2 linked regions of the Callithrix jacchus genome follow. The protein of the gene in region 1 purifies or fractionates together with the protein of each later gene. This does not show direct contact. Links are inferred from orthologs where the notes say so. Each region holds a gene or a part of one and is shown on either strand. Other genes may lie near its edges.

Region 1 (4,052 bases):
ACAGGAGCAGAATGAGGCTTAGATTTTCCAAAGATGTTCATTTCACTTTGGATGACTATGGCAAGGAAGAGGGGTGGCCTGTCTACTGCTACTGTTAGTCATCACTCATGTGACTGCTTTTATGTATTCATTGGTTTAAATTCCCTGGATCTCCAGAAACATGTCCCTTTCCACTGGGGGAAATTTGTGTCATGATTAAAAACACACACATACACACACACACACACACACACACACCTCCTCCCTTCTCAGTGTTAATCACCTTCTCCTATAATTAGCACTTAAAATGTCAAAGGAGAAGAAATTAATTAACAGAAGTATCCAGTGCAGCAAGGCTCTGGGACTGATTATAAAGAGCACTTCCTTAAATATTTTGAGTACTTTTGGGACTCAGAAGCCTCCCTTCTAATTGAAAGATCCTTAACTACACCCTAAGTCCTGGCTGGTGGCCAGGGGTGCGGGCTGAGTGAGGTGGCGTGTGGAAATCCCTTCTTCACCATCCTTGGGAGAATTCCCTTCAAACTGGGATAGGTGGCAATAGAGGTTCAGAAACAGCAAGCGTCCCAGGCTGACTCTGCGGGGGAGGAAGAGATGAACCTTTCCTGAGCTGCTACTGAGTGCCAGGAACTTTAACTCGATATTTTGCCACAATCCCGTAAGACAACTGATACTATGGTCTCCATTTTACAGATGAGGACATTGAGGCTCAGCGTGGTTGTGACTTCCCTAGGTCACGCGGCCACTGAATGAAAGAGCCAAAGATTCAAACTGAGGTCTGATTCTAAAGCTTTGCTCTCTCGCGGCATCCTGGAATCCTATTCCCAATCTTCGTCTGGACTCCCAACCCAGTCCAAAGCTTAGCTTCTACAGTTTTGACAGCTGAGGCAGGCGCACGGGAGGCGGAGCTGGGAGCAGCGCAGCGCCCCGCCCCAGTTCCGGCATCAGCCAATGGTGACGCGGCACCCCCCACCCTTTGGCCCAATCAGCTCGAGCTCACCGCCTCCATCCCCACTCTTCTCCGCCCCGCCCCTCCGCTTTCCCTTTGGCTCCACCGAGCTTGACCGAGCGGAAAGTCCCTTCGGTCGGCGCCGGGCTGGCAGCCATTGGAGGAAGGTCTGTCACAAGGAGACCCAATCAGAGCCCGCTCAAGGGCGCAGTTCGGCCTGTGATTGGCTAGCGCGGCGGCTGCCCCCTCCGCCCCCGCGCCCTCCCTCTCCCCTGGGAGATTCGGAGGCGGGGCAGGTGGGGGCGGGCCCAGGTAGCAGGTTCGGCTGCGCGGGGGCCGAGCGTCGGAGGTAAATACTAGGGCGGTGGGTGTGGGGCCGGGGCTGGCCCGGGACCCGGGCTTGGGAGCCTGGGCGAGGGGCGACGCCCCGTCGCCGGAGGCGAGTGAGTGAGCGGGCGGCGGGCTGCGGGCGGCTGGCGGCCCGATCCCTTCTGCACCACCGCCCGGCCTCGGGGCTCCCGGAGCCGCCGCGGCGACCGTCGGGCCCTAGGCGCCGGCCCGTTAGTTGCCGGGGCCCGAGCCGGCCAGGCCCGCGGGGTGCCGAGCCCGCTGACGTCAGCCCGGGCTTCTCCACCCCCGGGACTTCCTCACCCCCCGAGGCTTCCCGGGAGGGCTCCGAGTCCGGGGAGCGTGCGTGGTTGCCGCCGTCGGGACCCCAGGAGGAGAGAGGACTTGAGGCGGGAGCCGCGCGGGACGCAGCCTCCCCTCCTCGCCCCCACCCCATTTACAGATGGGGAGACTGAGGCACAGGCCGCTGGCGGGTCCCGACGGCCACGGTTGGCCTTGGGAGCCTGGGGCTGTGATTCCTCCGGTCCACGCCGCGGGGCGTAAGCACCGATCGGTTTTGGGGGTGTTGGTGGCTCCCGTCCAGGAATCTCGGTCGGGGTTCTGGCCTCGTTAATGGCGTGTTCTGCTTTTTCTTTCAGTTTCGCCCTTTCCAGGGTGAGGATGGTTCTACACAGCCCCCCGGAGTTCTTTGTTGAAAGGTGCGCCTTGTTGTGACAGGTATTCTTTCTTTATGTTTTTCTTTTATGTTAACGATAAGTGGGGTGGGGAGGCGGGTGGGCTTGGGGAAGGAAGTCATAAAATCTTGAGGAAGATGTTGTTGAGTTTGGTTCTCAGCTGGGTCAGCTGCCGGGTTATTCATGTACTTGGCATAATTTTTCTTCCACTCCTTGGCATTTACATGTTTTAGGATAGTTGTCATCTTCCAGCCACCAAGCCTGTGGCCCTGCAATCTTCCAGCCCCCATCATCCCTACCACCGTCCTCTCCCCAGTTTTTCCTGGAAAGTTGTATCCTTAGCTCAGCTAAGGAGCATACCTACCTAGCCTTTGAATTCGGGCTAATTAGGGATCTTAATAATATTGTTCATTTTGCAATCATTGGCTCTCAGAGAGGCACCCAAGCCTTGAGAGGGTGTTCATTGTTGACTTTCTACACACCCCCTCATGCCCCAAGTAGATTGAATGGCCTTAAGAATTTAGCCTCCCATTCCCCACAGAGCAGTGGGTAGATTTGAACTAGATCAGTATTAGGAGAAATGATTTGCTGGAAATTCTTATTGAAGTTCATGTACTCTGAACGTCGAGAACACCCAGAACATTCTCTAATATTCTGCTGCAAAATTTTACAGTACTCTTGCAAATAAATCTTCCTTTGGATGGTAATTTTTGTGAGAAGCAGATAAGGCTTGTTATGTAAAACAACAACAAACATTAAGCATCAATGATTTTTGTAGTCTGGCCCACGTAAACTGTGGTTTTGTTTGATTTAAGGAAGTCTTCAACACAAGGAGAAAGGAGTAATTATGCTCTTTATCAAACTATAGTATTTTGTTCCTGATTTTCACACTATGATCTTAGTTTTTAAAAATTTTTTTACATTGGTTGTAGAGCATTTATAAGCATCATACACGCTAATGAAGGTCTAGTGTCAAATAAACCTCAAAACAACTTGGTTTCATAATTGTGAAATTTTCCATATTTGTTTCTTATGTGTATAAAAATGAAGTGGTTTACCATGACTTCATTTTATCCAGAAAATTAGTGAAGTTTTAGGCAAAAATCATTAAATACTCCCAATTCCTGAGTCTTTTTATTTTCTCTTTCTCTTTGTTTAATCCCTTAAACAGAAGGAGGAAATGCAATTTTGTTTTCACTGTTACCATTTGAGTCCTTCATTCATTTTTCTGTATTCAGTGCCTAGCATATGCCAGGCTCTAGTGTGGGCACTGGATAATATAAAAATGAAGGACTTGGGGAATTCACAGTTTGGCAGGAGAGTGGCTATGTTTAACGTTAGAGAGACAGCAATATTCCTGGTTCTGGTGGGAACATGCAGATGTGGGAGCCAGGCTTTTTTTTTTTCTTCTTTTTCTTTTAACTGTATAAATCCCACTTATATTAGGGACTGTGTACTTGTAGCACAAGTTAGTCATTGAGGAAAACTAAAACTGACTCAGTCTCTTTTCTGGCCATGGAATCTCTGTATCCCTATTCTTTAGCTGTTTAGGAATATAACAACTTTGTCTTTTAGTGAGAGGTGTTCTTTTTTAAAAGGGCAATCATTCTAGCTATCTAGAAGCTTTTGGAAAAAGGCCCACATGTCTTCTTTCCTTGGTGGTCACGCTGACCTTCCTACCTTTTTGCCATTTATAATTAGGGACAGAGTCAAGTATTGTGATTTTTATTCTAATTTGAGACGGAAAAGCTCTTGCATTGGATCTATCTTTGTGAGATCCTTGTGAACAATATAACCTGATAACTTGAGAATCATAAACACACTGTATCTTCTGGATAAGTTAACCATTGTCAGTTTTCTGTAGCTACTGATGTTCATTTGTACTATATGTTGCCTTTCAGAATGTGGTAATTGTAATCGTTAATGTTTTCATGTAAAACTTATTTCATGATCATTCCATTGCTTTCATGGAAAATTGATAAATATTTGTGCCTTCCAACCCACATCGTGGTTTAATGACTTTATCTTAATATGATTAAGTTCCCCTTTACTCAGAATCCAGACTCGCAGCAAGCTCAAATAAG
Region 2 (4,358 bases), about 39 Mb from region 1:
TTGAACCTGAGAGGTGGAGGTTGCAGTGAGCTGATATTGCGCCACTGCACTCCAGCCTGGGCAACGAGTGAAATTGCATCTCAAAAAAAAAAAAAAAAAAAAGATGAGATTTTTGGGAGAGGACACAGACCCAAACCATATTCAGTCACCCACGCTAGAGTGCAGTGTCGGCTCACTGCAGGCCCCACCTTCCCCTCCAGGGTTCAAGTGATTCTCCTGCCATGCCATCAGATCTGGTGGAACTCACTGTCATGAGAACAGCAGGGAGGAAGCTGTCCCCATGATTTAATTATTTCCACCTGGTCCCACCCTTGACAGGTGGGGATTGTTACAATGCAAGTACCTGGGATTACAGACATGCGCCACCACGGCTGGCTAATTTTTGTATTTTTAGTAGATACGGGGCTTCACCATGTTGGCCAGGCTTGTCTCAAAACTCCCGACCTCAAGTGATCCGCCCTCCTCGGCTTTCCAGAGTGCTGGGATTACAGGTGTGAGCCACCATGCCCGGCCACGATTACAGTATTTTTAAGACTAATTTAAGAAAAAGCAGAGACGAGACGTCGCGGCCCAGGGAAAGTTTCAACAAACTTGGGCCTTGGTTTTGGTGGCCTGGAGAGGTGAGGGGCACAGACGGGAAGCAGAGCCTGCCCAAAGCGGGAGTATAGGTGGGGGGGTCGAGGCTGGGACCCCAAGGGTCTCCCTCATCCTCCTCTCCTAGGCAATGCGAGAAAATGTCTTTAGCACAGAACGGAGGAACCCGAGCGAACAAAACGCCCCCGGGAGGTCGTGGCCCAGATTTAGCCTGGAAGGATCCACAGCCCAGGTCAGCTTTTAGTGTAGAGAGGGGGCAGTTTCGCCCTGCCTCAGAGACCCGCCCAGACGCTGCTCTCAGGAGCGGCGGCTGACAAGTGCGGGAAGCCGGTAAGCGGAAGCGGCAGAAATAGGACCCGAGGTCCTGGCACCGACCTGAGGCGAGGCTGAAAAAGGCTTGTCCTTGCGCCCACCTTCCGCGACGGGCACCGCCCACAAGCAAATAGCCCCGCCCCGCGGGAGAGGCCCGCCCCCGAGCCCGGCCAATCCCCACAGGTAATGCAGGTGGCCCCGCCCCGCAGAAACGGCTCGTTCCAGGATCCAACCAATCACCGCAGGCAATGCAGGGGGCCCCGCCCCGGAGGGGGACGAGCCCGCGCACCTGCTTCCCTGTGCCGGGACGCCTGAGGCTGGGTCCCTGTCTCATAGGGAGAAGCGGCCCAGGCACAACCTTCACTGAGCGCCTCCCCTGAGCCCGCAGCCCTCGGCCCTGGGGCGTCGTGAAAGACACGGGTCCCGTGGGGAGACGGGCGACGGGCGACGCGGTGACAGGAGGCTCTCGGGGCGCCTCGCGCAGGTGATCGGCCTGGCGGGACACCGCCTCCTTCCGGCTTTCACCAGGCCCCGCCCCTCCTAAATTAGCTGAAGGCGGGGCCTAAGCCAAGCTCCGCCCCCGGCGTCAAGGCCGCGGACCCGGGCGGAGCCGACTCCCGGCGGAAGCGCACGGCGCACGCGGAGACCCGAACTGAGCGGTGGCTGCCGGCGACCGCTGTGGACGGACAGGTAGCGCCATCTCCCGCGAGTTCCGCAGCTCCATCTGCCAGGCGAGGGGGCTCTGGTCTGGAGAGGGCTCAGCGGGCGGAAGCGCGTCTGTAGGGAAGGGTGCGGTCGGTAACCGGGGCGCCCCTGGAAGGCCGAGGTTCCCCCGGCTGGGGAGGGGCTGGGGGTGCGGGGGCGCTCAGCTGGAGAGGGCCGGATCGCCGGGTGGGCGGGCAGATGGCGCCGGGGGCTCCAGATTAGGGGGTGCCAAGGATACTCGGGCGCTCAGCCGGTGGGGGCGGGGTCTCCAGGCTCGGGGGGTCCTGGGGACGCTGGGCGGGGGCTCGGAGAGAGCAGGGCGCGGCCTGAGGTCCCTGACCCCCCGCCCGCCGCAGGATGGGCAGCAGCTCGCTGTCCGAGGACTACCGCCTGTGCTTGGAGCGCGAGCTGCGACGGGGACGCGCGGGCGTGTGCGGGGACCCCTCGCTGCGCGCGGTGCTCTGGCAGATCCTGGTGGAAGACTTTGACCTGCACGGGGCGCTGCAGGACGACGCGCTGGCGCTGCTCACCGACGGGCTGTGGGGCCGCGCCGACCTGGCGCCCGCGCTGCGCGGCCTGGCCCGCGCCTTCGAGCTGCTGGAACTGGCCGCTGTGCACCTGTACCTGCTGCCCTGGAGGAAGGAGTTCACCACCATCAAGGTAGGCGCCGGCCCGCGGAAGCGCGTTCCTCGTCCTGGCCTGCGGGTCGAGGGAGACCACGCCTGTCGGAAGAGAGGGGCTTTCAGCGTCCTTAGTGCCCGGTGGGCGTCTCAGGGCTCAGAGCGCCGAGGGGTCGGGGGCGTGCTGGGGCACCCACTCTGAGGGCTGAGAACATGGGTGGGCGAGGGCAGGCTTGTCCTGCTCGAGAGCGTGTGTCAGTGTCTTCCCTAAGGCGGCCTCGCGGCCCCAGCTACCATGGGAATCTTGGGACAGGGGCACAGGAGGGACTTGAGGTCCCGCGGTCATCCTCATTCCTCCAGGATATGGGCCACTCCCATTTGCAGAGGCGGCCGCCGAGGCTGGGAGGACTGCAGATGGGCGGATCCCTGTAAAGGTGCAGGGCTGGGCACAGACCTAGTGAGCTCCTTGGCTTGGGGCCGGTGTGGCCCCTCCAGGTGAGATCCTGGCGGCAGGAGGGGGCAGGGCCGCCCGGAGCTCTGAGCTAATTCGGAAGAGTAGGAAGCGGATGACGCCACTGCACACGTGGGCGAGCTACGCCTCCACCGGTTGCCATGGCAGCGGCAATCTCTGCGCGGCTCCCCGGGGACACCTGCTGGTCCGCTGAACTCTCATTCACGAGAGGGAAGGACAGGTCTGCCTTTGAGGCCTCCCAGGCAGGGCGAGAGAATGGGCCGGGCCTCAGTGCCCAGCACCCCTGGGTTGGACCTAGTTCTGCTGCCTCCTGGCCGGGAGGCCTTGGCCGTTACCTCATCTCTCTCAGCCACTTTCCTCCTCTGAAACAGGGACACAAGACAGTCCAGTTCATGGACCCGAGGAATGAATGGAAGCCCTGAGCTCAGTGCGGCAGGCACGTGGGCCGTGCCCCTTTCATGGAGTTAGGGAATTTTACATTCAGGAGGCAGTGACTGTCCTGCTCCTTTAGTTCTTCGCCCAACTGTAGGCTAGAAAGCACTCACCATTGTTACGGCTGTCAGCCCAGGGCAAGGACAGCCTCTGGAGCTCTGGAAACACGTTGCCTCCAGGTGGTGGAATACTACACCGCAGGGCAGCAGGGGAAAATGAAGGGTGGAGCTTCCATCCTCATCTGCAAGACTGTAACGGGAAGAAAAGTTCAGAACAGCATGTTTAAGAGGCTGCCTATTCTAGTTTTGGGTAGAGACCTTGAAAAGGGGTGGGGCCCCTCATAAGAGGGGCAAACCAAAATCTATATTTGTGTTTGCAAAGTAACACCTGGGCAGGCACATCCAAAACTAATTAGACTAGCCATCTCCAGGGGTAAAGAGAGTGGCAGGGGACGAAGACAATGACATTTCTCAGTACAGGGGCTCTTTGTTTTGTTCTGATTCATGAGGCAGGTTAATGTATTAGTTGTTTTTTCCATTAAATCTAAGAAATCCTAGGCTGGGCACGGTGGCTCAGACCTGTAAACCCAGCACTTTGGGAGGCCGAGGCAGGCAGATCACTTGAGGTCAGGAGTTCGAGACCAGCCTGGCCAATAGGGTGAAACCCTGTCTCTTAGTACTAAAAGTATGAATATATAGCTGGGTGTGGTGGTGGGTGCCTGTAGTCCCAGCTACTTGGGAGGCTGCGGCAGGGGAATTGCTTGAATCTGGGAGCCACAGGCAACAGCGAGCTGAGATCGAGCCACTGCACTCCATCCTGGATGACAGAGCGATGGCGTCTCAAAGAAACAACAACAAAAAAGAAATTGTGATGTTCGGGCCTGGCCCAGACTGGCTAAGCCTAGTTTCTGGGGTTGGGCCCAAGCATCAGAAGCTGCCAACGCTTGAGCCGATGATCCTGGACCCGCTGTGCTCCGGGGTCCGCTGACCAGGTCGCTCTCTTGCAGACCTTCTCCGGGGGCTACGTGCACGTGCTGAAGGGTGTGCTGTCAGATGACCTCCTCCTCAAGAGCTTCCAGAAGATGGGCTACGTGCGCAGGGACAGCCACCGGCTCATGGTGACTGCTCTGCCCCCTGCCTGCCAGCTGGTGCAGGTGGCCCTGGGCTGCTTCGCCCTCCGGCTGGAATGTGAGATCCTGGGTGAGGTGCTGGCCCAGCTGGGCA

Evidence for each region. The genes of interacting proteins can lie anywhere in the genome.
Region 2: the proteins of CYLD (region 1) and SPATA2L purify together in Homo sapiens (affinity purification with mass spectrometry; 3 studies listed by BioGRID and IntAct, with this or other methods). This does not show direct contact. The link is inferred for Callithrix jacchus from reciprocal best matches to the Homo sapiens genes CYLD and SPATA2L.

The regions. Positions count from the first base shown.
Region 1 is NC_133521.1:8,668,241-8,672,292, forward strand, and holds the start of CYLD (ubiquitin carboxyl-terminal hydrolase CYLD), read left to right. Parts: upstream 1-1,235; 5' UTR 1,236-1,389; exon of another isoform or gene 1,390-1,833; intron 1,834-1,932; 5' UTR 1,933-1,992; exon of another isoform or gene 1,993-2,011; intron 2,012-4,052. UniProt on the Homo sapiens protein: Deubiquitinase that specifically cleaves 'Lys-63'- and linear 'Met-1'-linked polyubiquitin chains and is involved in NF-kappa-B activation and TNF-alpha-induced necroptosis.
Region 2 is NC_133521.1:47,332,029-47,336,386, reverse strand, and holds the start of SPATA2L (spermatogenesis-associated protein 2-like protein), read left to right. Parts: upstream 1-1,508; 5' UTR 1,509-1,596; exon of another isoform or gene 1,597-1,967; 5' UTR 1,968-1,968; coding exon 1,969-2,271; exon of another isoform or gene 2,272-2,333; intron 2,334-2,685; exon of another isoform or gene 2,686-2,770; intron 2,771-4,141; coding exon 4,142-4,358.